Linked DNA regions of Arabidopsis thaliana. The protein of the gene in region 3 interacts with the protein of the main gene of each other region in a pairwise test. Each region holds a gene or a part of one and is shown on either strand. Other genes may lie near its edges.

Evidence for each region. Proteins that work in one complex are often made in the same cells at the same time.
Region 1: the proteins of AT2G03640 (region 3) and AT3G13990 interact in a two-hybrid assay, tested with the Arabidopsis thaliana proteins (one large-scale study listed by BioGRID).
Region 2: the proteins of AT2G03640 (region 3) and GIP1 interact in a two-hybrid assay, tested with the Arabidopsis thaliana proteins (one large-scale study listed by BioGRID).

Annotation. Positions count from the first base shown.
Region 1 is NC_003074.8:4,623,601-4,633,165, reverse strand, and holds AT3G13990 (dentin sialophosphoprotein, putative (DUF1296)), read left to right. Parts: upstream 1-2,552; 5' UTR 2,553-2,782; coding exon 2,783-2,960; intron 2,961-3,329; coding exon 3,330-3,373; intron 3,374-3,747; coding exon 3,748-3,919; intron 3,920-4,258; coding exon 4,259-4,391; intron 4,392-4,797; coding exon 4,798-5,324; intron 5,325-5,525; coding exon 5,526-5,865; intron 5,866-5,962; coding exon 5,963-6,224; intron 6,225-6,304; coding exon 6,305-6,400; intron 6,401-6,566; coding exon 6,567-7,028; intron 7,029-7,125; coding exon 7,126-7,458; 3' UTR 7,459-7,783; downstream 7,784-9,565. Other genes in the region: ATBRXL2 (DZC (Disease resistance/zinc finger/chromosome condensation-like region) domain containing protein), read left to right, coding at 146-525, 1,210-1,345, 1,443-1,834, 1,918-1,996.
Region 2 is NC_003074.8:4,249,176-4,256,580, forward strand, and holds GIP1 (GBF-interacting protein 1), read right to left. Parts: upstream 5,104-7,405; 5' UTR 5,032-5,103; coding exon 4,854-5,031; intron 4,398-4,853; coding exon 4,354-4,397; intron 4,236-4,353; coding exon 4,169-4,235; intron 4,089-4,168; coding exon 3,962-4,088; intron 3,881-3,961; coding exon 3,627-3,880; intron 3,498-3,626; coding exon 3,257-3,497; intron 3,127-3,256; coding exon 2,964-3,126; intron 2,817-2,963; coding exon 2,409-2,816; intron 2,334-2,408; coding exon 2,112-2,333; 3' UTR 1,783-2,111; downstream 1-1,782. Other genes in the region: ABCG26 (ABC-2 type transporter family protein), read right to left, coding at 57-338, 425-608, 741-896, 962-1,251, 1,331-1,528; AT3G13224 (RNA-binding (RRM/RBD/RNP motifs) family protein), read left to right, coding at 5,673-5,728, 5,870-5,910, 6,046-6,209, 6,311-6,416, 6,511-6,680, 6,907-7,405. UniProt on the Arabidopsis thaliana protein: Plant specific protein that enhances G-box-binding factor (GBF) DNA binding activity. May function as a nuclear chaperone or lever and regulate the multimeric state of GBFs. May contribute to bZIP-mediated gene regulation.
Region 3 is NC_003071.7:1,102,819-1,109,780, forward strand, and holds AT2G03640 (Nuclear transport factor 2 (NTF2) family protein with RNA binding (RRM-RBD-RNP motifs) domain-containing protein), read right to left. Parts: upstream 4,050-6,962; 5' UTR 3,912-4,049; exon of another isoform or gene 3,614-3,911; 5' UTR 3,601-3,613; coding exon 3,421-3,600; intron 3,334-3,420; coding exon 3,048-3,333; intron 2,960-3,047; coding exon of another isoform or gene 2,957-2,959; coding exon 2,760-2,956; intron 2,685-2,759; coding exon 2,534-2,684; intron 2,439-2,533; coding exon 2,317-2,438; intron 2,217-2,316; coding exon 2,151-2,216; intron 2,067-2,150; coding exon 1,707-2,066; 3' UTR 1,496-1,706; downstream 1-1,495. Other genes in the region: AT2G03630 (suppressor SRP40-like protein), read left to right, coding at 387-1,141, 1,235-1,412.

The DNA.
Region 1 (9,565 bases), on a different chromosome or scaffold from region 3:
AATGAGAAAAGGACCATTTTTTGCTCTTGTTGGTTTCTGTTTGGAAGCTAAGAACAAATCAATTTAAGTCCGTGACTTTCAGAATGTTTTTCACTGTGTATTTAATTTTGTGAATAACATGTGATTCTTGTATGTGAATCTTCAGATTAAAGACATGGCAGTAAAAGCATCAGGTGCTTACAAAAGCTGCAAACCGTGTTCTGGGTCGTCTAATCAGAATAAGAACCGAAGCTACGCTGATTCGGATGTTGCTTCGAATTCTGGGAGGTTTCGTTATGCGTACAAGAGAGCGGGGAGTGGAAGCTCAACACCGAAGATTTTGGGGAAGGAAATGGAGTCAAGGTTGAAAGGTTTTTTGAGTGGAGAAGGAACACCTGAATCCATGAGTGGTAGGACAGAGTCTACAGTGTTCATGGAGGAAGAAGATGAGCTCAAGGAATGGGTTGCTCAAGTGGAGCCTGGTGTCCTCATCACATTTGTATCATTGCCTGAGGGAGGGAATGATATGAAGCGGATTCGGTTCAGGTAATTTTTAACTGTTTTGTAGGATTTACACTAAGTAAAAGTTTGGATATTGGACTTAATCAAGATGGTACAATATGTTTCCAATCAGGAATATTGAAGATGATACTCAAATGAACTAATCCATACTGTTTTGAAATTGTTTAATTTGATTTTGGAAGTAGAGATGTGTGGTTCTTGGAGACAAGCAATGTGAGAGTACAGTTGATATTTAGGATATTATTATGTGAGATTTCTGTGTTGGAAACTGTTGCTGCTTTCATTTTTCTTGAATCGATTGAAGTGGTCCCAAACCATTTCTTATAATTATGAGAACTTGTACATCCTTTTTGCCAAGAAAGGTCTTTGAGATGTGGGTTATATTTCGGTAGTTGAATCCGATGGAGAACTTAAATGAATTCCCCAAGGACAATTGTGTGGGGAAGTGTTTGTGAATTTCGTAAAGTTCTTTTTGTATGTGGAACATATAATGAGAGCAAGATGATCTAACTAACTTTCTTCATGGCAAGAGGAACACTTCAGCTCCCTAGGATTGATATTTCTAGATTCTAGTTTTGACAATTTACTGCAGATCCCTTGAGTTTTGTGAACCTAAGACTGTTAACCTGGTAGCTCTTTGGTTCTGTATTGTATATGGTTAAGTCAGCTCCTAATTTGTTGATTTCTTCAAATTTGTATTACTTGCAGCCGTGAAATGTTCGATAAATGGCAAGCTCAAAAGTGGTGGGCGGAGAATTTCGACAAGGTCATGGAATTATACAATGTACAGCAGTTCAATCAGCAGAGCGTCCCACTTCCAACTCCTCCTAGATCTGAAGATGGGGTATATGCACCCTCTTCACTTCTGAACACATGAATCTACTCATCAAAACCTGTCTTTGATACTTTGAGGTCTAACTAGTTTTAATTTGGTATACCAGAGCTCGCGAATTCAGTCTACCAAGAATGGTCCTGCAACTCCACCTCTGAACAAAGAATGCTCTCGAGGAAAAGGCTACGCTTCTTCTGGCTCACTCGCTCACCAACCAACAACCCAAACACAAAGTCGACACCATGATTCATCTGGTCTTGCTACAACACCAAAACTCTCTAGCATAAGTGGGACAAAAACCGAGACATCATCTGTTGATGAGTCTGCAAGAAGTAGCTTCTCAAGGGAAGAAGAAGAAGCAGATCATTCAGGGGAGGAGCTATCTGTAAGTAATGCAAGTGACATTGAAACAGAATGGGTGGAACAGGACGAAGCAGGTGTTTACATCACAATCAGAGCTTTACCAGATGGGACTCGCGAGCTTAGGCGTGTTCGCTTCAGGTAAAGATACATTACTTTCTCTGTTCCTTAGTAAAACCCTTTCAAAAGCAAGCACTTTAACAACATTGTCTTTGTGGTTGTAGCCGAGAGAAGTTTGGGGAAACGAATGCAAGATTGTGGTGGGAGCAGAACAGAGCTCGGATACAACAACAATACTTGTGATGACCGATGACGGTCGAAGGCTCTCTAGAGAAGAATCTGACACACACCAAAACAAAACACTTTTCTTTTATATGTTTTACTTGGAAAAAAGCTACAGAGTGATGGAAATAACTTGGGATTCAGATAATGAATGTGCTTTTTAGTTGGTGGTTGTTAGTACATCTCTTTCTCTTCTTTCTCATCTACATCTATCTATAAAGAGGAGGTATTAGTTTTACTGGATTTTCTTGGTGTTATTTTCTTAAGGTAATGTACTGTATATAGTTTAATACTAAGAAAATTCATATTATTGGATTTGAAAATTACACTTTGTGCACTTTATTACTTTTTCTCTAATTATATTGACCATGATTGGTGCTAATAATTATGGCATGTACTTAAATGTTCTGAATAAGAAATGTATAAAGTAAAAACCAGTTAAATTGCCAGCTAACTTGTATCTCCTTAGAAATTTCCATTTCTCACTTCTCCTTTGACTAATCTTTCTATTGAGTTATATTAAGGGTAAAATAGTCAATTAGGTTTATCCAATTAGTGAATTTGGAACCAATTTTTTCGACGCGTGAGAATAAATCCTAACTTCTTTTTTTTTTTTGTTCTCTTAAAGCCGTTCCCTCTTCTCTGTACTCGAAACCCTAGTAGTTGCTCTATCCGATTTTAGGGTTTAAGAGTCGAATCATTAGCATCTACCTTGATTACGCTGATCTCACTTGGTTTCGCTACTCGATCCTTGAATTTCTTTGTTTTTTGTGTGTTTCGGTTTATTCGATACGTCTTTGATCCGTAATGGTGACTGGGTCCAGAACTAGCGGTAATCGTGGGGTAGGACTCGATGATGAAGCGAAAAAGATGATTCAATCGATTAAGGAAGTTGTGGATAGTCACTCCGATGCTGATATTTACACTGCCTTAAAAGAAGCTAACATGGATGCTAACGAGGCTGTGGAGAAGCTGATTCATCAAGGTTTCTTCTCTCTTCATCTCTTTTTCTGCTTTCCTAGTTTGACGGAAGTTAGGGTTTTACTGTTTGTTCTCTGGTCCGCATTATCTTGATCACGATGAATGCTACAACATCTTGTTTGAGGCGTATGTAGAATGCTGTAGATAGGTTATGCAAATTTCGTTTGATGGAGTTCTGTTGATAATTCGATAGATGGATAACTCTTGTTTTCATTTCGATAATTTGTCAATTCTCTTCAGAATACTTCAATTACTATATACTTGAAATATTATTGGTCTTCTTTTCTTGGCTCTCGTTTCGTTGGGTGACTAATATGTGTGTTATTGTTGCCATCATAGTTTTGGTTCGCTAAAAAGCTTTTGTTTTGTTCAGATCCATTTCACGAGGTGAAGAGAAAAAGAGACAGGAAAAAAGAGGTGAGGTTACATATAACTGTTATGGTATCTTGTTCCCAGTTCTTCTCCTTTTTAACATTTTTGCCAATGCAACCACATTGTAGTTTTTTTGTTTGACTCTCCTTAGTCTTTTCGAAACTGCATTTGAAGAAGGTGACTAGATTTTTCATAATGTTAGTTGTGCTTGTGTGACTATTATATCTCATCGGATGTCTGCTGTGGCAAGCTATATTTTTTTTTTGTTTTGTTTAGTATTTTGTGTGCCTTCTAATTTAATTGATCGTCAAAAAAAATTTCAACTTTTCTAGCCATTCAAATAGTTTGATGAATTTGTAGAGATCATCAAGACACCTCTTGTATAACCTCTGATTTTTAGGGCGTTCCTTTGGTTTCAGGATACAGTATTTGTTGAGCCTGCCAACATAAAGAAACCTCTTGAAAATGTTACCAGTGAAGTGAAAGTTCGTACACAGCCTGAACATAATGTTCGGAGAGGAGGCTACAGTAGGAATTTCTTCCCCAGGAACGCTGCTCAACGAAATGCATCTCCTAGAAATCCTGCTACTGGTAAATCAATTTGATGATGATATACTTGCCAGTTTCTTTCGCATGCTTGTACAGTTGTACTAAAAATCTTTAATTTGTTTTAAGCTGTCTTTTGAATGGTTCGTAAACATAATCTATATAACGGCAGTATCAAATGAACTTGGTTAAATCCAGAAAAATATATGCAGGCAAGCAAAGGAAACGTAGAAGAAATTGTTTTGCGTTGATTTGTTTTTTTTTTTTAATCTTTGTTATTGGCCATTGGCGTGAGGCCTTCAAGTTTTATGTAATGTATTGACCATATTCACCTAGAAATGTTTTTCTGTCTGTTTGTAATTTGTTCGTTTCATGTTAGTGCAGGATCCAACAAAGAGTTTCGCGTTGTTAGGGACAACAGGTCTAATCCAAATGTTGATGAAGAGTTGAAGCATTCTTCTGCCCAGTCCTCTGGATCAAATATTAACAAAGTGGTTGCCACTGTGAACAAATTGGGGTATGTATCATCAGTTGTAATTTATCCTATTGTTCTTATTCTAGCATTTTTATCACTAACTTGCCTTCTTTTATACATGTGAAATAGAATGATTTGTTACTCTTGTAAAAATATTTTAAGGGAGTTAATTTGCTTTAGCTGTACTTTTCCAAAAAATAGTAAAGTAGGACTCTTTTTTTTTTTTTTTTTTTTTGTCAATGAACTCTTTAAGACAATAAGAAGCATAGATTAGTTTTGTGCCATACTGCCATTGGGTTTTGGTAGACGGAGATAGGAGTGTGTATGTTCACTTGGTAGGCATTCCTTTGCTAGCCCAACAAGGACTTCTTGTCTCATAATTTCAAGAAAACTATGCTGAATTTAAATAAGAAAATAAAATTTTCGCTCTATTTTAACTGTTTGCCAGCTCAAGAGGTGGTTTGGGCAATCGTAACTCTTCTGGGGCTCAAGATTCAACTGACGAGTGTAATGCTCCAGCAGATGCCAGGCTCAGACAGGCTGAAATTCGTCCTTTGCATTGTCCTGTCAATAAAGAACTCGGTGGAGTTACTTTGCCATCAACCAATTCAGTTCTTGGTGTATATTCGTCTTCCAAAGATCCAGTTCATGTACCTTCTCCTGTTTCTAGATCATCACCCGTGGGAGCTATTAAACGTGAAGTAAGGGGTGGAGGTTTAGGTGGAAAACCTTCTGAAAATGTTGGTAAAGATCCATCTGTGCCCTCTTTTTCAGGGTCCTCTATTAGAAAAAATGGACCTCCAAATGCACATCGACCATCTTCCCCAACTTCAAAGATTGATCACAGTCGAACTACTGCACGTGAGTCTGTTATGCCCAGTGGAGTGGAAAAGAATAGGTCATATTTGAACAGACAGCGTGGGAATAGAGGAAGCCAATATGCTAGAACACAACAAGTTGGTGGCCATACAAAGGGTAACTTATATGCAAATATTTATTAACCGAATGGATGTTGTGCAATTTCTTATTTGATTTCTGCTAGGCGACACTTTATTTTCTGTGTAGCTTCTGCTTTGAGTAATATAATCCCTTCTTTCAATCTATTGGGAATTCCTGGTGAGAAGCCATTTCCTGTCATGACTTCTGATATTCTTGATCAACCTGTACTTATTGCAGGAGCCTCACAGAACAAGGAGTGGAAGCCTAAATCTAATCAGAAACCTGTTGGACATAACCCTGGAGTAATTGGAACACCTACAAAGTCTCAAGCTCGTCGTCCTGCTGATAATTCCATAAATGTGGAAACAGAAGCCGTCAAGTTGCAGAATAAGCTTTCACATGTTCATATAAGTGAAAGTCAGAATGTCATCATCGCAGATCATATTCGTGTCCCGGAGACTGACCGCTGTCAGCTAACTTTTGGTAGCTTTGTTCAAGAGTTTAATTCCTCAAGGAATTCAGAATCTGCTTTCGAAGAATCACACTCTTCAGAAGAAGTTAGAGAATCTGATCGTAGGTAAGTTCTGACAGTTGGTGGGTTTTTTTTTGTACATTTGAATATAGTTTGAGATCACATGCATCTTCCCCAATTAACTTGGTGATATTGTTGACAGTTCGCCAGTTACTTGTCCTGAGGCTTCAGCAGATGGTCCGGGCGTTCTGCCTATCACTATTGATGATCATGTCAGAGTTTCTAGATCTGACTCACCCGTCTCGGCAGTATCTGAGCCACAGTTACCCGAACAGAAAGAAACTCATAGATCTGACAATTTGGATGCGTACTCGGGGATTGAATTACTCAATAGGAATGGTCCACCTTATACTCCTTTGGAGTTTGAACAGCAGCAAGATCCTCCGGAGTTGCAAAAATTTTCTGTAAGGGTTCTTGCAATTTTAACTCTTAAAAATCAAGGAAAGATAAATTCATTCAAAAATGACATGCTCTTCCTTTCCAGCAGGCTTATGACAATCATGGTAGTTATGAATTTCCGTACTTTAGTCCTGCAATGGATGAAACTGTACGAGTTCAAGGATTACCATCTCCACACGAGGTAATTTATGTTTCTGTTGTTAGTTGTTACTAGTTTGCCAGCATGAGTTGATGCGTAAGAGTCTAGTTAGCTCCTGTTTGAGCAGTTGGTTTGTGCATGTGTCATAGTTATCTTTTTTGTTTTATTAACTAGGAAAAACTGATCAAGTATCCTTTTGATAATGCAGCAGGGATTAAGTGCTCACATGTTAAATAATGCCCCACCATCCACTATTCCCATGTTACAGCAACAACAGCAGGCATCAATGCAACAGATGTATCCGCAGGTCCATGTTTCGCATTTTCCCAATCTCATGCCTTATCGTCAATTCCTTTCCCCAGTCTATGTTCCCCAAATGCCCATGCCAGGCTACTCAGGTAACCCAGCAGCATATGCACACCCTTCAAATGGCAATAGCTATGTGCTGATGCCTGGAGGCGGTTCTCATCTCGGTTCAAATGGTGTCAAGTATGGAATCCATCAGCAATATAAACCAGTTCCAACTGGTGGACCTGCGGGTTTTGGGACTTACAACAATCCTAATGGGTATCCAACTAATCCTCCCAATGTAGTTGGAAACGCTACGGGACTTGAAGATCCATCTCGCATGATAAATAAACATGGAAATATTTACGTTCCAAATCCTCAGGTAATGATAATTGATAAGTATGGTAGTTGTGCCCGAACTTTATGTTTTTACCAATTATTTTTTATTCTGATTCATGTCTCCTTATCTAACACTACAGGCTGAGACTTCTGAGATATGGATGCAAAATCCAAGAGATCTTTCAAGCCTTCAGTCTCCATATTACAACGTAGCTGGACAATCGCCTCATGGTGCTTATTTATCATCCCATACAGCACACCAATCGTTCAACCCAACTGCGCAATCATCTCACATGCAGTTCCAGGGTCTCTTCCACCCGTCACAGCCTGGTACGATGGCGAATCCGCACCACATGGGACCTGGCCTCAGTGGTAATGTTGGAGTCGGTGTCGTTCCCTCTCCTCCTCCGTCTCAAATTGGTACCTATCAGCAATCACAACTTGGTCATCCGAATTGGCCATCAAACTTCTGAAGAAAATCTAACCTTTGTCTTCTTGTCTAATGGATTATATAATAGCCAAAAGCAAATATTTTGATTCTCCTTATGAAACGCCAAACTCTGTTTTAATTAATCTTTATTTATTCAATGCATAAAATGTTCCCAGCTCTCAACAATTTGTCTATAAATGCTTTGTCTGCTTCCATAGCCCCTCATTATTTACAGCTGCAGGTATGGTGTTATTCTCCCATGGCGTCAAATTGTCAAGGTAAAGTCCTGTCCGTGCTTCTTAATCATTTACTGCTATTATAGTTTCGGTCGACTTCAAGAACCCTACAATGCATGTGAAGGTTTTTAAGTGTGGAACCCTGTGAGTGAAACATTGTTGCTTGGTGCTAGTGTTTCCCATTGTCAATGTTCTACAAGTATTAAAGAGAATTGTGTGTTTTGTTTAGCTGTTCAATGTTCTTCTTTGAGTTATGTGTCTTCTCTCTCCATTTCCTCATATTCCTTATTAAATTCTTGATAGAGAATCATTAGTTGTTGAGCTTGACCTAACTTTCCTCTAGCCTTTAGAATAGATTACAAATATTCTTAATCGGAGAACTAGTTGAAGCTCAGGCCTATAGGTTTTGATTATCTCCTTGATTACTTTAGTTTTTAGGTGTCATAGCACACTGTGTCATCATAACAAAAGAATCTAATTGATCGTTTTGTTGACATATTTAGAAAAGTAAATATACTTAGTTTGGGGAGGTGGGTCTTAATCAAGGAGCCAACTAGAGTTTACTTAGAGCCTAATTGGTACGGACTTTGATTCCTTCTCTGATTTAATAGGCCTCCTAAGTCCTACCTTATTGAGAAATGATTACTCTCTACGAATCTCTTGAGACTCCATGATGTTGAGTCACTAATACTCTATTAATTTGTCCCATTTTGACCGGTCTAGGTTTTATTAAACGTAATTTCACTATTGATAACACCTACCGCACAAGTAAGGATTGGCTTGAGATTCTCTGAAAATTCTATAAATTTGTTCTTTGTGATTTAAAATGGTACTGAAAATGATTGAGGAGATTTTGTAATTAAAAAAGTAATTTTTGATTGAGACTATAGCTAGAGTAGAGTAGAGGCTTAGGGTTCATACTTCATAACTTAAGATAACCCGCATGTTAGAGGGATAATGATGTGAAATGTTAGCTCTTTTTGACCCTATTCTATATATCTCGTAGAAAGATTATAAGAAAATAAGAAGAATTAGCAAAATTTAATTGAAAATCAATTATGTTTACTTATCCTCAATAAGTCAAAAGGTCCCATGATCGGTTTTAGAGATTTACAAGCATGACCCCTAACTCCTTACTACTTCTGTTAAATCAAGGCTGGTTTGTTAATATTGAATCATAAAGATTTGAATTTCTCCCTACAAATCATCTAAATTTTGCGTAAATTCGACACGTAATTTTTATAGTAGGAAATTGTTTTCTATGAACGATGAAAAGTTTGAAACGTTGTATGTCACTGTGAACCTGACATGTCAAATCAGAGATAATGGAGTGATTTATAGATATCCATACACTGACTGATATATACACCAACAACATTGTTGTATGGTATCATAATAGTAAGTATATATTCTTGTTTGTTGGGCTGTTAGAGGGAAAATATTAAAATCAAACGTTTCTCATAAAGAGTTTGGACGAGTGTGCTCTTTAGCTATTTGATTGAAATGGAATCTGCTTTTGCTATTGCATGCACCAACTCAATTATGATGTGATCGGAATCTTTTGTCTTTCTTTTGTTTATCATATCCACACATGCGTGGAATCCCCTGCAACTTCTGTTCATTTGTACATAGTAGCTCTTTTGATCTTTTCTCTTTATTTATCTCTTTGTTTCTGCCTATGGTGTGCGTTATAAGATGATATCATATGTATATAAAAAAAAAACCATTTGTTTTTTGTTGCGCAACAGCATATATGATATGCGATATATTTACAAAACTTGAGAGATTGTAAGATTGACATGGACGATTTTTATACAACATGTAAAATTTACCCAATGAAATGTAGTAATTATTAAGACTTAACATTACTTGAAGTCTTGAACTATAACGCACTTTTCATTTAAATCATTTTGA
Region 2 (7,405 bases), on a different chromosome or scaffold from region 3:
ACTAGAATTGAGTCCCATGAACAGTAGAATAGGCTATGACTTAATGTGATCCTTACTTTGAGTAAAACTTCCTCAGAATCAGGCTGTGCAGTTTTGGCAGCCAATAGTTCGTCGGGTAGACTAATGTCTGAAACTTGTCCGGTTGCCAAGTCTAGCAAGAACTCTGCTGGGTTCATTGCAATCTCAGGTAAGATTCTCAAAGATGAGAAATACTCCATAGATTCTCTGGCTTTGCCGTAAAAGGCAGGGTGTCCTTCTGATATCAGTAAGAGCTTGTCAAACATGTGAAACATTCTGCTTGATGGTTGGTGAATTGTCGTTATAACGGTCCTGCCTGCCTGAAAAAGACAAACTGAATCTTATTCTACTGTATCTTTCAAGAACTTTGTTAGTAATCTATTTGCATGTAACTAGAAACTGATACCTTAGCTACTCCTTGAAGAATATGAAGAAGTTTGGTGGCAGAAGTGGAGTCAAGTCCAGAAGTTGGCTCGTCTAGAAGCAACAGAGAAGGATCTACGAGAATCTCATAAGCTATACTTGCTCTTTTTCTTTCTCCACCTGATATTCCCTTGACAAAACCTCCTCCAACTCTTGTCCGACGGCATCTTTCATTGTGTTTTTCAATAAATCTTAGTTTAGTGTTTACAAGAAATGTGTCTGGACATCACCAAGAACATGCTTGAAGAAAGTCTACGAGCTAGGTCTCACTATAAGCTGGAAATATTCAAGAAGTGTACCTTTCGAGGCCGAGCTCTTTGATGATCATCTCTATTTTGGCGTATTTTTGTTCCTTGCTCATGCTACTTGGAAGTCTTAAAAACGCAGCAAATGCCAAGGTCTCTTCCACAGTAAGTTGTGGCAACAGAACATCGTCTTGCGTCACAAAGCCAATTCTGGAAAACAGGGAAAGATCAGCACATAATAGTATGATTCAGGTAGGAGAAAATATCCAACTCACCTCCTCTTAACAGATGGACTGTAAGGAATGTCATTATAGGTAAGCTTCCCCTTGACATTATCTGTCAATCTTCCTCCCATTATCTTCAGAAGAGTTGTTTTGCCACTACCCGAAGGCCCCATTAGCGCAAGGATTTCGCCAGGACCTGTGCTTCCTGTTATGCCTTTCAAAATGTGCTTGTATCCATCTGGATCCGGATTTGTATGTGTTACCACCTTTGACACCATTGTTTTCACCAGGTTTGCTGAGCTAGCATGACTGTTTCTCACCTTATACTCCACATCTTCAAACTGCATATAAATAAAAGAGGCGAAACCAATAAGCTTTGTCTTAATGAAGGAAAATCGAAAGCAAAAGAGAAAGTTGAACCTTGAGAAAGATGGGAAGAGGGGCATCTTCGAGAGGATAAGTGGAAACGAACTCTTCATCAATGTCAATCTCGGATGAGTATTGGTTTCTGAGGTAAGCTTGTGGCATGAACTCCATGTTGTGAACTATGCCATTGCTTCCTGTAATCTGCATTACATGATTCTCTTCAACTTCTTCTGTTGATCTTCTGATCTCCATGTTATCTTTCTTATTCTTGTTCCACAAGAAAATTGTTATGAATGTAGGCTTGTGTTATATAACGGAAGAAGTGTGTGGATCAACTGTGTCAAACCTGAAACTTTCTTGCTTTTTGTGTTCTCTTTTTCTCTCTGTTTATCAGGGTGTTAGTTTGGTAGACCACATTCTTTCAATGTTTTTGTATTAAATTGAATGCATTTGTTGACTTGAACAAGGAGCAAATGAAACTATATTAATTTCAATATACTTTATATGGTACTAAAATCATTTACATTTATCGACTTGGCTTGCTCATTGACGATCACAACGTACGAGAATAAATGTCCACTTGCTCATATAAACTGATCACTTGATTATATTGTAAGATTCGGAAGAATTACAGATAAACGAGATCAAAGCGGTTTGTGGCACTCACAAAAATTGAAAAAACAAAAGGCACCAATTCTCTTGTCCCCTTGCCAAATACTAATCTTCTTCTTGGGGGGTGATGTATCCTAAGTATGTACACAAAATCACTCAAAATTCCAGACTTAAACATCTCGTACCAATCTGAATATGCATCTTTCTAGTAATACTCCTTGACCTAGTAGTTGTTTCCCAGATTTGTTCGTGCAGCTTGAGGTTGCTGATTAGTTACGTGCGATGGTCCTATGGGTTCAGTCCTCGCAGATATAGATAGAGGCGCCAGTATTGGCTGTGTTTGTTGATATAACCCACGGATCCCAGCCTGCATGGTTGGGAAAGCTATAGGCTGACCTTGAAGGGATAAGTTGTACATGGGACTGGCCTGCAGATTGGCTAGACTCTGCTACATGGAGCCGTGTTAAAAAACTATAGCATAACATGCAATGACAGTGGGGAGAGTCAGAGAAAAACTAACCAGTGGTCCAGTTGTGTACATGTTTTCCTTCTTTTCTTCCTTGTGAGTAGCATTTATGGTGGCTGCTGATGGGATGTGGTTGAAGGCGTATGAAGTATATGAGAATGGAATCGTGGTAGGTGGAGAGTTTCCAATGTCGCTTCCGGGTTTGATGTGAGTGAGAGGTAGTTCAGCCCCTGGAGGTGCTGGAGCATCATCTCCGGGTGGTAAGTAAGACTGTTGTTGGAACCCATTTGGGCTCAAGTACTGGTGAATGTATGGTTGCGGCATATAATAAGGGGGGAAATATGGACCATAAGGGAAATAGTTAAGAGAGTATTGTTGCCTATAAAGGTGCATTGCCTGTTGAGCGGCTGCTAAGGAATACTGATCAGGATAGGAGATAGGTGGAGCATCACACTTTGCAGCCTGCAATTATCAACAAAATATAAAAGACAGTGATTAAGCATTGTGTTCATATTTCCTGGCTAGAAAAACCACGCGGTTGGCCTGATGCTGACAATGAATGCACAAGACTAAAAAGACATTGTGTGGGGCTTCTTGATAATAACCAACCTGATGAGTGTCTGTGATTGGTAAAACCTCGTTCTTTACTTTATCTCCTTCTGAACCTTCTTCAGGGAGAACAGTTTGATCTGGCTGCAATGTTAACTCGTTCTGAGCTGCTGAATTTGAAATCTCATGATTCTTATCCTGAGAAAAAGTTGATATATCTTTCCTGCAAACCAAGTTTCATATAAAGGTATTCATATCAGAAACTCATTCATCTGAGACTCTAGATCAATTCATGAGAATATTGAAGCAAGTAACACTGTAAGATTTACTCAAAGTAGCTATTAGTCACCAACCTAGCTGATGCGGCTGTCCCATGAGAAGACTCAATATTGGAGTCATCACACCCAATAGTAAACTTGTCAGAAGATGCCTCTCTCACAAAATTAGAATCGAAGCTCCCAAATGTCAGACCATTTTCCAGCATTTTGGCAACCTGAATGTGGACAGGAAATGTTACGTGCGGCCGTTCACCAACATCCGACTTGAGAAGCGACTCATTCTTGCATTTACTGGCTGCAACCTCACTCTTAATGACTGTTCCAAATAAAGCCATACGTCGAATCACATAAGAGGCTGTAATCAAACTCAGGAACAACTTAACAGAATACAGAATGCACTTAAAGCAACATTAGCAGGCAAGTAATTATATGGTATAATTTATACCTCGCTCGGACTGTTGTGGGATCTGAAAAGTTTCAACTACAGCATATTGAGTATCGTTTTCTACAACAGAATCTGATACAGCCACTGATACACTACTTTCTTTAGACTTATCCGGCTCAACAACATCCTTAGAAGAAGAAGTAGCCTTGGAGAGAGGCTGTTCCTCTGTGTCCACCTTGTCCACAGGGGATATGATAGCATCTTGAATTTTCTGGTTACTGATTCCACTTGGAAGACTTATAGGGTTCGGGGCCCTGAAAAAGAATAGAATGCGTTAGGAAGCCCATATCCAAAGAGGGAATTAAAGACATAGACAGAATTAAAAGTATGGATACATTATGGAAGAAGGTTTTGTGTCGTTTCTTGCATTGTTAGGAGCAGACGAAGCAGTTCCAGAACCTCCTATTATGTGATTAGCTCCACTCTGCTTTTTAAAAGCTGCACTTCTTCCATTACTGGCATCTGAATCAACAAAGAGCTTGAATCAAGGAAGGAAATATAGAACACAAGTTTAGAAGTAAAAGAACATAAACCACAATGACCTGTGTAACTTGAAGCAAAGTTCTTCCGTCCAGTCCGGCCCCTTCCTTGTGTATTTGGCACTAAATTCTACAACAGGTAATACACATAAAGGCATAAGAGAAACGAGATGATGTAAGCTAAACAGAGAACTCAAGACCACACTTAAAATGCAAAGTAAGGATTCAAAAGAACATAGGAAAGCTACCTCTTTCTTTCTCTCCCGTTTGCTTCTCACCTCATGAAATGTATCTGAAAGATCAGTAATAATATATGAGTACATGTCTGCTATCAAAGTACATGATTATGTTGATCTTGAAACAGTAGACAGAATCAAAACTTAACCCAGATGCCCAATCTCAATCAAAGCTAAACAGAAATTCCCTTTCCACATTCCAGCTAGATTGGTAAAGATTTAAAACGACAGTTTCTTAGTCATGAACCCAAATTCTACATATTCCATTTCAGTAAAAAAGATTCCTTATTTGAACATCCCCAGACATATTATACCAATTAGAAATCTAAATAAACAAAACATAAGATTCTAAGCATAACACACAGATTCTAAGACAAGACCAAAATCGACAAAGGGCATTAAATAGCAAAATCCAAAACAAAACCCTAGGAGAAGCACACGCTCAATACAACAAAAAGGAAGTAAAAACACTAAAACAAAAACAAATGCTGAAGCTTTCTCAGTAAAACAACCTAAATAGAGAAGCTTCTGAGTGGTCTCATGTGGATCACTGAAACACTCCTTAAAGACAGAGAAGATATCCTCGTCGGAATGTTGTTTACCGGTAACCTCTCTGATGTTTTGAATGGTTTGAAGCAGATCAGCCGGAATAGAAACCCTAGAGCCGCCATCGCCGCTGATCCTGCTCATGTTGGTTACAGAGAGAAAGAGAAGCGGAGGGAGGAGGAGAGAGGAAATATGGGTTGAACATAAAGACTTCGTATATAGTACTATTATTTATTTCCGTACAATCTACCGCTTAATGTCTCTCTCTACGTATATTTATACGCTGACGTCACTGTTTATCAATTTCCTCCTCATTATTTGATTGAGTACTATTATTTATTTCCGTACAATCTACCGCTTAATGTCTCTCTCTACGTATATTTATACGCTGACGTCACTGTTTATCGATTTCCTCCTCATTATTTGATTGTTTTGTACGCGTTTAATGGAAGGAGAGACAACAAAGTTGATATGGCCGAGTTGGTCTAAGGCGCCAGATTAAGGTTCTGGTCCGAAAGGGCGTGGGTTCAAATCCCACTGTCAACAATTTACTTTTTTTTTTTTTGTCTTTTTACAAGAATAGGAAAAATAGACAGCTGTGTAAAAAAATATTAACTTTGTTTTGTTTCCACAAGTCGATGTCCAAATTTAAGAATATATATATATTACACGATTTAGCTATCTCCTCTAATTAGATGAAGAGACATCAGATCTTATCAAAACCCTAGCTTTCGGTGTCTCTCTCGATCCTTTAGCTCAATCGAAAACTGAATTTAGGAGCTGCGATGGGTTCCAGATCTCGTAATGATAATTTCCAGTCCGGCGATGGCGCTAGTCCTGGGTACGTTTACTTCTCCTACCTCTTGCATGTTTGATTCCACAGGATTAAGGGAAATATCTCATAATCTGTTGGCTTTGTAACTCTTTTTATATTGTTGGTTAAGGTTTAATTTATGTTTTGCTTGGAATTTTTGTGTTGCAGGAAAATATTCATTGGAGGATTGCACAAAGACACGACTAATAGTAAGTTTCTTCCTCTTGTTTTGTTCTAGAAATTGCGTTTCTAAGTTTTGTTATGTTATGGATTCTTGTGTGTGTTTCTGATGTTAGACCTGTTGGAATGTTGATTCTACTTGCTCACTTTGGTTTTGATTGCAGCTGTGTTCAATAAGCACTTTGGCAAGTACGGGGAGATTACAGATTCTGTCATTATGCGAGATCGACATACTGGACAACCTAGGGGTTTCGGTTTCATCACCTTCGCTGACCCTTCTGTTGTTGACAAAGTTATCGAAGATACTCATGTCATCAATGGCAAACAGGTCGGCCACTTCTCTTTTCTTCCTTCACTAGCTTATAGTGTTCATTTTTAGTAGGGTGTTGGGTCTTGATCAATACTTTTTTCCTTGTTTTGATGGAACAGGTTGAGATCAAAAGGACTATTCCGAAAGGTGCTGGTGGCAATCAGTCAAAGGACATCAAAACAAAGAAGATTTTCGTTGGTGGTATACCCTCAACGGTTACAGAAGGTAGACCTCCCTCTTGGCATGATATTTTTTTGCTTTCCATGAGAATGCTGGTTTCCTGTCCTTATTGAAGTTGGTTTCTTTTTCTGTTGATCAGATGAACTTAAGGACTTCTTTGCCAAGTATGGGAACGTGGTGGAGCACCAGGTTATTCGAGACCATGAAACAAACAGGTCCAGAGGTTTTGGTTTTGTAATTTTTGATAGCGAAGAAGTCGTAGATGAATTATTGTCCAAAGGAAACATGATCGATATGGCAGACACTCAGGTAAGCTTGTACAAATGGGGATTAGAATTTTGGTTCATGATGACATATTTATCTTGGTTTCAATTTGATATTTTCTCCTTGTTCCTTTCATTATACACGTTTAACTTAGTTAGAATTCTACCCACTAGCTTACCAAATGTAAGGAGCTTGTCACAGTAAGATAGGAAATCCCTGCTATAGTTTGGGTCCTTAGCATAGCTAGGTTAATTAAGTTGCTTTGTTGTAGGTGGAGATCAAGAAAGCTGAACCAAAGAAATCTCTAAACCGTTCACCTCCTTCTTACGGTAGTCACCCTAGAGGTCGTTCTTCTAACGATAGTTATGCAAGTTATGGTGGACCTTACGGAGGTTTTGATGGAGGGTATGGTCATCCTCCAGGTCCCATTAGGTCACATGGAGGTCCTGCTAGTAGATATGCTGGGGGATATGGGTATGGTCGTGGCAGTGTAGGCCCTGAATTTGGAGGAGGTTATAATAATTATGGGGGTGGTAGTTTAGGAGGTTACCGGAATGAACCACCCCTTGGCTATTCTAGTCGTTTTGGACCCTATGGGAGTGGGTTTGGTGGTGAGGGATATGGCCGTGGAGGAGAAGGAGCCTATTTGGGATATCCTCGTGGAGGAGGGGAAGGCTATGGGGGATATGGTGGGCCTGGTTACGGCGGTGCATATGAATCTGGTGGCCCAGGTGGCAGTTATGAAGGAGCAGGTGGTCCATATGGGAGGG
Region 3 (6,962 bases):
AGTCAAGGCGTTTATCTATTGGATAGAACACGGTTTCTTAAATAGACCGTAACACAGAGGATCATTTATAAAACAGAACAGATAAGAAGACATGGCGCGAAATGCAGCCATGGTTTTGTTAGTTAAAGTTCCGAACTTTACGAGATACCTTTCGTTCTGTTTATCTCCAGACAACGAACCAAACCCTAGATCCCCTTTTCCTCATCTTAATTTTTTTCTTTCTTCCTTCATTCTCTCTAGCAAGAAAAAGAAACGAAATTTCACAACTTCACTCATCAGGCTCTGGTCAAATCGATTTCAAGGTATGTTTTTTGATGTTATATTTGTTCGAATAGCCCGAGAAATTGCTTAAAATGATGCATTGATGATTGCTTCTCCAGGTGTTTATGGAGTCTAAACATGAAGAACATGTGTTATCCAAACAAAAACATGATCAAGATGTAAACAAAAAAGGTTCATTAGACGACGAAAATGGAGATGTTGAGCATAAAACGATACCTTTACAAGAAACAGAAACTGTAATTATTAACTCAGAATCACATTCAAGATTATCGTCGTCTTCGTCATCTTCGTCTTCTTCTTCTTCGTATTTATCGCCACCGAAAGATCTACCTGAAGAGGTACTAAAAGAATCATTGAATGATCCGGAGATTTCTTCACCACCTGTTCAAGTAATGGATAGAGATAACAACGGAAAATATGACCCGAATAGGATTCCATCTTCGGTTTTCGAGAGAAGCAAATCGAATGTGCCAGCTGAATGGAGCTGCACTTCGAATGAATCTCTCTTCAGTATTCATTTAGGAAACAATAGTTTCACTGGTTATGGTGGTGATTTGATGAAATCAGGTGAACTTTATAAATCCGGTGAGTTACTTGCGTATAGTCCTGGACTTCCTATGCCGCCTGTACCAGGATCGGAACCAAAACCCGTAGTCGAAGAACCGAAAGTTGTTGAATCAGATAAGGAAGAGAAAGTTGTACTAGTAGAAGAAACACATACATCATCATCAGATGAAGAAGAAGGGAAAAGAGAAAGCCATGAGAAAGAACAACATCCTGCTGTTTCTTGGAAAACTCCTACAACTTCTTACCGTTCTAACCGAAGCTCAAACAGCGCGCACTCCTTCTCTTTCCCAATGTAAATACACTCCATCCATGACCATGGCTGACAAACATTTCCTCCCCTCGGTTTTAATGAAAGTTTCTTGCTTTGCTTTTTTGGTTTTTACAGTTTGGCTGGAGCTGCAAGTGATTCAAGAAAGGTAGAAACGGAGAAACAGAAGGAACAAGCAAATCAGTCACAAGAGTCACAAAAACCAGTAGCAGATGCAACAAATCAGAAGCAGTCAATGTGTAGGTGCTTCTCATGTTTTCCTCAATGTCCGTGGTGTTGTTCTTCTTGTTCTTGATTCTGTTTTGATGTTTGATTAGACAAAAACAAAAGTTGTGGAGTTTATCTCCTGTAAAGAAAGTATGTAGGTCATTAGAACCTTAAATCAATTCGATTTTGTTCTCTGCTTTGTTCATGAGAAGATACAGAGATCAAAGAGTGAAGAAAAATGTTCTAGATTTATCCCCAAACAATATCACAAATCGAAAAGATCAACACCTAAGATATCCACGGAAACAAAAATTTGTTTTAACATCGCCTACAACCTCAGATTCTCAACCATGAGCAAAGCTTAGAAGAAGAAAAAACTAATCTAGTTTTTGGCCTCAGTATTGCCATGGCCATTGTTCTGGTATGCTTTACCATCCCCATTAGACTCACTGTTCCGTCTCCCATAGCCTCGTCCTCCATTGACGCCACTGCCCCTAGGTTTGTATCCATCACGTCTGAAACCATCCTCATTTTTATAACCACTGTTGTTTCTTGTAGAGACTCTGTTGCCATTTTGATTGTTACCTCCTGCATAATCCAGAAAAAGTAAGATTAGGATTTTGTTTTTACATTTAATTAAAGTTACAATCTTTGAGACAACAATGCCTTTCAGAAACTTGCCTCGCTTTTCTTCTATAGATGCTCTTCGGTTTCCGATTCTGATTGGTGATTCCCTGTGAGCCTAGAGTTGTGCATTTGGAGATCAGATAACAAGAACTTCAAATTACATTATAGCCGAGAGTTTGATATGCAAACAAAAACATACCTGAAAGACATTTTTTACTGCTTCACCATTTTCGAATGCCACAAACCCAATACAGTTCTTTTTTTCCTGAAAATTCACAGATTTTTAAGCGTGTGATTGAACCAGTTATAAGGTTTTTCAAACTTTGCAAATAATTTTTTTGTAGATCATTGAAAGAATAACTAACCGGGTAACTTCTGACTTGGATACCATCCTTTCTAATAGCTCCAAAACTTTTAAATGTTTCATAAAGTTGCTCAATAGTCGCATCCATAGGCAAGTTTGCAACAAATATGGAACTACCCTGAGCTGATACGTGAAAAACAAATAATCAAATGAGACAAAAGCAAGTAGAAGAATTTTCAAATTCATTGTTTTTAACTATTAAACAATGAATAACCAACCTTGTGGTTTAATGCTTTCAGCAGAAGCCTGTTTACGAATTGGGGAAGGAGCTTTGCGCTCCGGAGCAGCAACCGGTTTTTCGACAGGTTTACGCTTGACCGGCGAGGCTTTAACCTGTAAAGTACCAGCGCTTTGAGCCAGAGATTGAACCTGTAAGTTTGAAATCACACCAACAGATTAGAGGATATTATACGATAAAAACTAAGCACAAAGGAGGAGACTTACAATTAATGCAAACGATTTCTTGGGAACCTCCTCTTGAAGTTTTGCTTCAGCAGCTTTAGGTAAGCTACTGTTTTCATTCACAACTTTCTCCTCAGGGACTTTCGCATGTCCGTTTGGTATGGCACTTGCTGGCTTCGTCACCGTAGTTTTAGCTTCAGTAGGGACAATAACCGCCTCTACACTTTCATTTGCAGGCTCTGCTAATCAAAACCATTACCACATGAATCAAAACAATGTCAAGGTGGTGAATATTTTCAGATTCTTGAAACCATTGGTAAAACGACTTACCAGTGATAGCATTTGTTGACTGACTCTCCTCAACCTCCTTGGTAGCTTCTGGTTCAACAAACTCATCAGACACATACCTAAAGGTATCATTCAGCACAAAGTAGCTTCCATTCCGCGACACAAGAAAGAAACTCTGAGAAAATTTCCTCCTTCCTCCATCGTTCCCGATCACTAAACCCGTGACTAGAGTTACAACACCATTCTTTAAAGTTGATTGAGAATCAGCAGTTAGAATCTCGATCCTTGAGCTTTTGTAGTCAATGGACATTATCTGATCATTAATCCCCTGCAAACACGATGAAACATTCGTCGAATCAATACTAACAACAATAATTCAATGAGACATACTATGAAAGTGGCTAAAGGAACTTACTTTCAAGGATTTGATAGTAACTATCTCACCATCGAGACCAGGCCGTGAAATCATACTATCCTCGAGATAGAATTTGTGTACTTCCGAGGTTGAATCATAAAGGTGGTTATAGTATTCTTGAACAAACCCATTGCCTACAAATTGTGGATCTACTGAGGGAGCGTTTGATTCAGGTGTCATCTCTGCAATTTCTCTAAGACAGTCTCAAGCAAAATCGAATCAAACAAAAATTCACAAGAGCTCCAATCTGCATAACTTAGAATTGTACTATGTGGATCTAACTTTATAGTACGAAATCTATTAGCTTATTGTAATTGCAAGTACACATAGTTGGTTTCTCCAGATATTATATATGTAAGGTTTGAACTGAACTTCCATAGATCTATAACTAGTCGAGTTTGAGAAATTGAAAGGTATAAACTTTGCTCCAATACAAAGATGGATTGAGAGATTGGAAAATAAGGTATGAAGTATGAAGCAGAAGCAATTACCTGATAAATTGGAGAAGACAGGAGAATCAATCGCAATTAGAGTGAAGGAGAGAAGGAAGGTGAAGAAACGAGTTTACTTGTGGTGTTTATATATGGCTTCTAGGGTTTTTTTTACAGACAAACTCCGACCAGAATTGGGAATTTGGTTTTGGCCTCTCTTTTTTTTTGCTTATGCTTTTTTTTTGTTTTTTTTGCAACTTTTTGGATATTTTTTCAATAATATTTTGTCACGTAATCATATCCTGTTTACAATTTAGTGAGGATTTTTATTTGATTTGATTAGTTGTTCTTCTAATTTCCAAATCCTAATTAGTTTTTTTTTATTATTATTATTATTGGTTTGGGATTTTTGAATATTGTTCATAAATAATAACAAATATTATTTTGGTTTCGGAAAAAGAACAAGATGATTGGATGGATTTGGATTTAGTTTTGGACTAATATCATAGAATTTTATAGGTCTTTGATTTTGATTCGAACGGTTAATTTGGTTTTGGTTACTTGATTTTTCGGGGTTTTTGGAAAATAAAGCATTTCCTAAAACGAATTGACTAATAATTCGCTTTGTTCAGTTCGAACATGGTTTATTCAATTTTTTTGGTCTGATCACTAATCAACCAAACAACAAGTTAACAACAATGACGCATAAATTATGAATACAAAAACAACTCGGTAGCAAACCTTAATCATCATGATTCATGATACAAAAAATACATAAGTTGTTCTAAAAGAACATGTCACTTGACAAATGACAAAGTACCAATAATCCATTTTGCCTCAGTTCTTATAAGTGTATTTGGTATGTTGTCACTATTTTGTAGACGCTAAAAGAGAAAGAGTTTGTTGTACAAAATATATAAACAGAAAATATATATGGCTTCTAAGATTTTTTTATAAAGACAAACTCCGACCAGAATTGAGAATTTGGTTTTGGCCTTTTTTCTTATTCTTTTTTTTTTGCAATTTTTTGGATATCTTTTCAATAATATTTTGTCACGTAATCATATTATGTACACCATGTTTACAATTTAGTGAGGATTTTAATTTGATTTGATTAATTCTTTTTTTATTTCCAAATCATAATTAGTTTTTTTCTTCTTTTTATTGATTTGGGACTTTTGAATATTGTTCACAAACAATAACAAATAATTTATCGGTTTCAAAAACGAAAAAAAATGATTGGATGGATTTGGATTAATAACATAAAATTTTATAGGCATGCAATTTTGATCCGAAAAAGTTAATTCTGTTTCCGTTACTTGATTTTTGTTTTTTTTGGAAAATGAACTTTTTCTAAAACGAACCGATTAATAATTCGCTTTGGTTCAGTTCAAACATGGTTTATTCAGTTTTTTTGGTCTGATCACTAAACGAATGTAAAATCAACCAAACAAAAAGACGCATCAATTATTAATACAACAACAACTTAGTAGCGAACCTTAATCATCGTGATATATACAAAAGATACATAAGTTGTTCCAAAAAACATGTAACTTGACACAAATGACAAACTACCAATGATCCATTCTGCCTAAGTTCTTACAGGTCCATTTGGTATGTTGTCATTGTTTTGTCGATGCCAAAAGAGAAAGAGTTAGTTATACAAAATAAATAAAGAGAAAAGACAAGCCTTTAAGCCGCTTAAAAATCTTAATGCATTTGTCACCTTGTCTGTTGTGAAAGAAAATAAAAATATATTACTGATTAAAAGAAAAGGCTCTCACAGGTAAATGAATGACAAAAAAATATATCAAATATACCTCAATTTTCAACTCCACGTCAATGAGCAACTAATGATTGTGTATGAGTACTCTCAGAAGCTACACAAGGCAAATAAAATGTAGTTGAGTCTATAGATATAAAAATAACAACAAAAAAAAACTGAAAGATAGAGAGAAAATGAGTACTTAAAGACTCATAAAACTTTAATTCTTCGAACATCTGAATCAGGTTTGCTAACTTCTCAACTAATGATATTCATGAGCCATTGCTGAATGCAAATCAATGATTCAACCATGAGTGGTGACAAGCAACTTCAGAAAGGATCCAAAATACGACCACTAGTGTTGAATGCAGACTCTAAATTGAGAAAGGAGACATGTATGACAAGCACATCTCTTGTTAATTCTGCAAAGATTGCAATTTAGAACTATTCCTCCTCCACCATCTTAAGACATCATAATCCAATCTCAAACCACTTGTAATTCTTAGCACATATTTTTCAAGCAGGTAAATGTCAAGTTCCTTACTAGATTCTATATTTGTAGTCTCTGCTACCATCTTAGTGTACAAAGAGTCCATCATCTCATAACCATCATCATTAGATTATACCAAATAGAGGATGTCACTTATTTAAATGTTGAAGAGGAAAGAATGCAATTAAAAAAGATTTTCAGAAACTTAACTAACATTTGCACTTCATCCCAGCTAACTAGCAGAAGATGGAGGACCAACATGTTTGCCATCATTATCATCATCAGCATCATCATCTTCATTCTTTTCTATAACTTATCTTCAGCCAACATCTTATCAAATGCACCTCTAAACGTGATTGCAACTGTGAGCATAAGATAAGTCGAATTCCACCTAGTAACAACATCTAGACATAAGTTTTATTTACTTACATTTCATGCCTCAACCCTAGATTTAAAGATTTGAGTCTTTCACTCGATGACCTCACATACTTGATTGCATTTTGGATAGCCATTATATTATGATTAGCTTTACATATCCCATCTTTGACTATCAGGTTTAAAATATGAGCGCACCAACGCATATGAATATACTCACCACTTTGAACTAATGCATCTAGAACTCTCACCATCAAATCCTCTGTGAATAACCGTAAAGCTTTGCCATTTCCCTTTGCATTTATCTACACTCATTGTGAAGACTTTCTTGATGCCCAATTCATCTAGACAGCCAATCAAAAGTGATGCAATGATATATCATTTGTGATCAATGACATGCTTGAAGCTAATGATCCATTTCTGTAATTTCCAATATTTATCAATCTAGTAAGCTGTCACCACCATGTAACTACAAGAAGTT